2 linked regions of the Caenorhabditis elegans genome follow. The protein of the gene in region 2 interacts with the protein of the main gene of each other region in a pairwise test. Each region holds a gene or a part of one and is shown on either strand. Other genes may lie near its edges.

Region 1 (3,754 bases), on a different chromosome or scaffold from region 2:
AGCTTGTGAATCGTCTCCAGCAGTACAAATGTGATGTGGACTGTGTGGGGCCCATGCAATTCCGTTCACTGGTCCAGTGTGATTACGGAGTCGACAGAGAATGTTGCATGGCATACGAATGTCAAGAATTTGAACTTCTTGACTGTTCTCGGCAAATAAAGCCATGAAATAAGGTTCTTGTTTGTTCCATGACAGTCTTTGAAGCTTCTCCTTGTTTGGATCTTCATAGACAATTGTCGAGTGGTTTAAATGTCGAAGATCAAACATTCGGGCACTTCCGTCAGCTCCTGGAAACTCGTAATGTTTATAAAAAGATGCAAATACTAGCTAGACAAGACTCACCAACAGTTGCAAAATGATCACGACCGCCATTGATTTTAGCAAATTCGATATCGTGAACAGGCTTGTCATGAGCAATCAGTTGTGTTTTGAGTGTGAATGGAGCTGTCGGCTTGGTCTGCCCAATTGCGCAACCAACCTGAATATTTGTAAACATTTCACTAAATCTTATCAAAATTATAACTCACCTCAACATCATAAATTGTGCAAGTCGTATCTACACTGGAAACTCCAATATACCTCGGCTCCAGCTCGTTCCAGTCGAAACTTGTCAAAGCTGATCCATATTGTGAGTTCTGAAAATTCCATTGAACACTAAAAATTTACAGGTTTAACGTACAGTATTATTGATCATAACTGCGTCTGGATGAACTTTTCCATCAACTACTCGCCAGAGGCGAAGGCAATCTGATGTTGTGGCAATGAGATCAGGGTAAACGTTGTCTGGATCCGGAATAAAACCGACTGCATTGGCTGGGAACTCCATTGGAAAGCTCGCCGTCTCGACAAGCTCGCCAGTTTCGTCTTTTAGTTGTACAATTGATACCTGAAAACGTTTTAATTGGAACTGTTATGTTTCAAAATACATATAAATTTCGTTTTTTTTTTTTTTAACTTTTACATTGGAGTACAGTCTATAGGGTTTTCAATTCAAAATATTCGAAATGTTTTAATATACATACTGAAATACCGCAAAAGGAAAGACAAAAATTATGTTTAAAACCTGAACAGTTCAATTTCGATTTGTTCCGATTTCCAGTTTTTCTAAATTGTGTCTTTGAACTATAGTAAAACTCGACTCAAAAATATAACTCAACTCAAAAATAAGAACGATCGCTGTTTAATCTTGCAGTTCTTATTTTGTAGACAACTTAAACAGTAGATTAGAATTTGCAAAAACCCGTTTTTTAGAATTGCGTTTTTTGTGGTATTTCAGTAAATGGGACCTTATTGACTATGGCCAACATTACCACTCACACGTTTTCAAATTTTTCAAAAACTCACCTTGTTTGCGGCACATGGGTTAACGGACACGTCGGATACTGTTCCCACAGCAAGTCGAAATTTGATATCATTTTTGTTGCTCCATGCCGATGCATACAACTGTTGATCAGACGTGAATTTATAGATCTCACAACGTCGATCACGTCCTCCGATCACAATTTCGTTCTGTCTTCCGATCCCTTGCGGAGCTAATGGTCCTGGTGGAGCTGGTTGTTGTGCGACTTGTTGCATAACATGAGCTTCTCCGTTCACTGCGTGACCATTGGTAGCCATTGCAGGTGATAAGGGTTCACAAGTTTCTGCAAGATAAAACACTGCGTGAGGGGATTATTAGAATAATTGGAAACTAGTAAGCGAACGAGGGAAAGAGCGAAAAAAAAGTGAGAGTAGTAGTTTTCAAATCGAATTCGACAAAACAGAAAGGTTCCAGGGAAAAGACGATCACAGAGAATACGGTAAATCAATAGACGCAGGGAACACGAGAACGAGAAAAATAAAATTGAAAAGTAGAAGGACACAGGAAGAAAATGAGGGAAAAAGAGAGAAAGAGAGGGAAGAACGCACTTTGTTACACTAAATCGAAAACGAATGGAATGGAGGTGGTGGTGGAATGTTGAAGATGAAAAGAAGGCAGTAGAGAGCAGGAGAGCAGCTCAAATGAGACAGGTGAAGTTGAAAAGGGATTCGATTATTTCAACAAGGCAGGGGGGGGGGGGGGTAGATCAAGTTGTTTCTAGGTCATTTTGATGTGATATGACATTATAAATCAGAAAAGAAATGCTAATCAGGTAGTTGTAAAGCTTGAACGATTGCCATGTTTTTTAAAGCACACTACCAAAAACATAAAAGTAAACGACAAACAGATTCAATTAAGTATAAGAAAATTGAGTCCAAAACACCGAGATATGGGCAATTCCTATATTGGGATTTCAGTCTATTCCAGATTAATGCCGACACTTTTAATTTAAATTTGGACAGCCTAATCATAGAGATCGAAAATTTAATTTAAGCGAAAAAATAGAAAGAAACAATTTTAGAGGAGTAAAATTGATCACATACTATAGTTTTGTTTATTGCATTCTGAATTTTTGACAAACATTGGATATTCAAAACTGACTTGATTTGAACTTTTTTGGAGGTAACGCTGATTGGAAAATGAGCTGAAAAAATGTAGCAAGTTTTGGACAAAAATTGTAATTTTCGAAGTTGTCAAGAGGACCAAAATTCAACTTTTGCATAAAAAAAAAGAAGAAAAACTGGAAGTTAGTTCTGAGAAAATTTTTGTTCGGACAATTTTTTTTCCAATTTAACATTATAAAAATGGAATTATTTTGCAAACTTTTCCAAATTTCGAACATTTTCCGAATCTATTTCCAATTTGGAAAAAAACAATGAAAGTTCGAACAAGAACAGAAGAAAATTATCCAAAAGATCACATTGAAAAGTTTGCAAAAAATAGTTAGTGGTCAACTGGGAATACCCGCATTAGTTCACTAATGAGCAACAATGGAATTAGGGAATTAGGAGGAATGTAAAGAGACAGAAACAGTGCGTTGCAGATTGTAACCAATCGATAGTATGCAAATAGTGTAAACTGTGCAGTGTTCGTCTATTCACCGAAGGGGGCCACCGACTAGCTGCACTGGACGAGGTAGTAGGTAGAAATAGGAGAGTTACACAGAGAGTTAGAGACCATTGCGTGAGTGCGTGTGTGAGTGAGTGAGAGAGTGAGTGAGCGAAGCAAAATGAAAAAAGAAGAAACGAAAAGATTCTCTGCGTTACGTGCCGTCTGTCCATCTCGTTTTGCAGAAATGGAGACGCAGAGGTCGGCTAGACGGACATGCAATGCGGCTAGCGGATACGTTGACCCCGAATACTCGGTTGCAGGTGGAAGAGAAAAAATGAAATTACAAGGAGCACATGACGCCAGAAACGGTGCATTATGATGCAAGTTTTCCGGATCTGGATGATCGTAGAATACGTTCCAGTTGACTTTAAAAACACTGAAGCTCCGTGAGAGTTATGTAAAACTGCCCTACAATCTACCTTGATAATTTAGAAGTATTAACTGTAAAGACTGGAACAAGCCATTCAAAAAGAAATCTGATCTGACTGAGCCTGAAATTGTTTAGAAAATCCTGCACATTTTGAATATTTGTTCAGGAGCACCTACGAATCAACGGTTTTATTAGAATTTCAGTAATTTTTAATAACAGTTTTAAAAGCAACTCGTTACTAACAAAACAAGGTTCTTATGTTGTTAGTTTTAAAACTTGTCTCTTTCATTATGTTCATTTTGATAATTCAATTGTATCATGGGCAGCATTAAACTGGCGCAACTCAAGAACTTTTTTGAAAAGCTTCACCGAAAAAAATTTCCGTTAGAATTTTTCAAAATTTCAGCTAAAAA
Region 2 (3,754 bases):
ATTTAATCCGAAAAAAACCTCTCAAAAATTCTCAATTTTCAGGCACAAATAGCGCAGAAATGGCATCAATCCGTACGACGAGCGACGAGCTTCGTGAAGGACAGCAAAAGCTGAAAAGAATGCTCGAAGAGCTCGAAACTCAACGGAGCAGCCTTCAGACCGCCTGTGAAATCTATACGGCAAAGAAAGCAGAGCTCGCGAAAGCTCTTTCAGACGCTGGAGGCACTGATGCTCCACCAATTGATGAGGCAATTGATGCCGCTTTTCCGTTGCACCGACAAATTGTGCTCAATTATGCGAAAGATTTGACATGTGATGACGTCATTTATTCACTTGGTATGGAACGAAAAGTTGGGAAAAATTGGAAAAATCTAGCTGGAATTGCTCAATCCTGAGGAAAATGTGCAAAAATTGTTTTCAAAAAATGCAGAAGTTGAAAATTAAGAAAAACTAGTGAAAATGTTTCAAAAAAATTAAATTAAAGTTGAGATTTTTCGAAGTTTCTGAGAGATTTGAAGCCAAATTAAAAGCGTTTTTCTGAAATTTTTCAACGATTTCGTCTATTAGCACTACTACAAATCATTCAAAAACCCCCGAAAAAAAACAGAAATTAGTTAAAATTGACTTTAAATTCTAGAAAATTCACAAAAACTACAAAAAATTGGAAGTTTCTGAACAATTTTCAGCCATTTTTACTCCAAAATTTTGTTGAAATCGTTCAAAAATCAGTTTCGGTTTTATTTTAGCAAAAGTGTTTTTTTTTTGCGGAAATTTGATAGAAAAATTATTGAAAATGACTGAAAATTGGAATTTCAGCAAATTTTCGGTGTAAAAATTTTTCCGAAATCCAGCAAAAAAAAAAACGAAAAAAAATTATGGTATTTATGAGAAATTTTTTTTTTGCCTAATCTTCAAAATTTCAGGTCAATCACTGAAAAAACGCCAAATAACACTTGCCGAATACCTCCGCCATGTTCGTGACGTGTCCCGAGAGCAATTTATCTACCGAGCAACAATGCAGAAATGTCGACGAACTGCTGGTCTTCCTATTTAAAATTTAAATAAAATTTGGATTGAAAATCGTGGAAATTTTTGAGAAAAAATTGCTAATTTTTTGACCAAAACTGGAAAATCGTGAAAAATTGTCCATAAAAATGCTAAAAATTCGATAAAATTCTCGATTTTTGGATGAAAAATACTTTTTTCAATAAAAAGTGGGAATTTCAGCGATTTTCTGACGAAAAACTTAAAATTATTGCTGAGAAATCGAGAAAAATGCATTTTTTTAAAACGATTTTAGCTAAAAATTCCATATTTCATTTATTTTCCTGATGAAAAATTGTTTAACATCAAAATTTCGGTGCTTTTCCGTGATTTTTCAAGTTTTTTACATGTTTTTCCGTTAAAAATTCACTTAAATCTTCTAATTTCAGCCGAAAATTGTAAATTTCAATAATTCCCGTTAAAAATGATGGAGCTTCTATTGAAAATTACCTCGAAAAAAGCTTTCTTTTTTTGACGATTTTCCAGCCGAAACATGTAAATTACGACGAATTTCAGTGACTTTTTTGTCAAAAAAATTACGGTTTTCACTCATTTTTCCATCTTCTCATTTCAAAATTTCTCCCATTGCCGCCATTTTTCTCTAATACTCCCTTTCTCTCCGTCTTGATGCCCGTTGTGATTTGGTTTGTTCTCTCTCTCTCTCTCTTTTTTTCCGTTTTATAGACACAATTTTCTAGATTTTTCCCCATTTAAAATATCCAATTTTGCACCCATTTCCCCATTTTTCCCGGGGGAAAAGCTCGCTTTTCTCTCGAAATTCGATGACTTTTTCAGGTTTTTTGTTCATTTATTTTTTGTACAAAAATTTTAATTTAAATGTGATTTTTCCCCCCATTTTTTTCTGATTTTTTCGCTCAAAATACCGTGATTTTTGGCGGTTTTTCAATATTTTTGATAGATTTTTTTTGTTGCTATTTTTAAGCCAATTTTTCCAGCTTTTTGTGCTTGTGCTCGCGGAGCTCCCCACAAATGCAAGCGATCAAATGTGTCGTCGTTGGTGACGGAGCCGTCGGTAAAACGTGTCTCCTGATATCCTACACCACAAACGCATTTCCCGGAGAATATATTCCGACGGTGAGTCATTTTTAAAGCAAAAATTGAGATAAAATTACGTTTTTTGGCTCAGAAAATAGGACATTTTGACACAAAATCGAAAAAAAAAAACAAAGAAATTTAGGCAAAAAATATTCAAAATTGTTGTATTTTGATCCAAAAATCATTGAAATAAATATTTTTTTAGGCCAAAAACTGGGAAAAATAGTGAAATTATCAATACTGAAAATCGTGAACATTTTGATTTATAAAACATTTAAATAAAAAATAATTTAAATTAAATTTTTTTTGCTAAAAATCGTTTTAAAAAGTACATTTTTTTAATCAAAAAAATAAGTGAAATTTCACTGAAAAGTATGAAAATTAAAACTTCCGTTTTTTACGGAAAATCTAGACAAAAAACTTTTCAAAATGCGATAAAAAAGTTTTCTGCAAAAATCGTTTTAAGAAACACATTTTTAGCGAAATTTTGCTGAAAAATATGAAAATTGTCAACTTGTTCCCATAAAAATCAATAAATTAATATTTTTTATACCAAAAGCTGGGAAAATGGTGAAATTTCATATAAAAATTGGTATTTTTATTTGAAAAAAAAATGTCGAAAATTTCAAAAAACTTCAGTTTTTTTAAACGGAAAATCTAGAAAATTTTGATTCAAAAAACTTTTAAAAATGCAATAAAATTGTAGGCTTTTTGCAACAAAAAAATTGAAAATTTTGAAAAGCGCACAATTTCCCGCAAAAAATATGAAAGGTGTCTTCTTTTTCCCAAAAAAATGCTTTTTTCCCATAAATTCAAATTTTTTCCAGGTATTCGACAACTACTCAGCAAATGTGATGGTCGACGGTCGGCCGATAAATCTCGGGCTCTGGGATACAGCTGGACAGGAAGATTACGATCGGTACGGGCAGCGGGAAAACTGAAAATGCTCGAAAAAACTCAGGATTATGGGTTTTTTCAATAAAAAATTGCTCAGGATTATGTGATATTTTCCTCAATCAAAATGTGGAAAATATCACATTTTAGAAAATTTCATCCAATTTTTCATAAAATGACAGTGATTTTGAAGCTATTTTGTGGTGAAAAACTCGAAAAACATGGAATTTTTCGCACTTTGCACTAAAAATTACCCCAATTATCAATTTTTCAACACCAAAAAAATTTGCAGACTCCGACCACTGTCATATCCACAAACAGACGTGTTTCTCGTATGCTTTGCCCTGAACAATCCGGCGAGTTTTGAGAATGTTCGTGCGAAATGGTATCCAGAAGTGTCACATCATTGCCCGAATACGCCGATTATTTTGGTTGGAACGAAAGCTGATCTGCGTGAGGATCGAGATACTGTTGAACGGTAGATTTTTGGAGAATTTGAGAGAAAAATTGAGGAATAAAGTGAAAAATTTGTAGAAAATGATGAAAAATTGCCAAAAAATTCGAAAAAGCGCATAAAAATTCAGAAAATCACTTAAAAATTGAAGGAATACCGCCAAAACATTAGAAAAATCATTAGAAACGGCAAAAAAATGAGAAATAAGGAAAAAACGCATCAATTTCAGGAAAAAAAATTGCAAAAATTGTATGAAAAGTTGCGTAAAATAGCACAACATTCACATAAAATTTTGGAAAAAAATTT

Evidence for each region.
Region 1: the proteins of ced-10 (region 2) and swan-1 interact in a two-hybrid assay, tested with the Caenorhabditis elegans proteins (one study listed by BioGRID).

What each region holds. Positions count from the first base shown.
Region 1 is NC_003283.11:13,805,595-13,809,348, forward strand, and holds the start of swan-1 (WD_REPEATS_REGION domain-containing protein), read right to left. Parts: upstream 1,644-3,754; 5' UTR 1,618-1,643; coding exon 1,345-1,617; intron 887-1,344; coding exon 680-886; intron 636-679; coding exon 528-635; intron 479-527; coding exon 343-478; intron 288-342; coding exon 1-287.
Region 2 is NC_003282.8:3,507,774-3,511,527, reverse strand, and holds the start of ced-10 (Ras-related protein ced-10), read left to right. Parts: upstream 1-2,000; 5' UTR 2,001-2,034; coding exon 2,035-2,139; intron 2,140-2,419; exon of another isoform or gene 2,420-2,569; intron 2,570-2,927; coding exon 2,928-3,019; intron 3,020-3,286; coding exon 3,287-3,472; intron 3,473-3,754. Other genes in the region: tsg-101 (Tumor susceptibility gene 101 protein), read left to right, coding at 43-336, 924-1,054. UniProt on the Caenorhabditis elegans protein: Required in engulfing to control the phagocytosis of apoptotic cell corpses. Required in embryonic development for the correct positioning and orientation of the mitotic spindles and division planes in blastomere cells.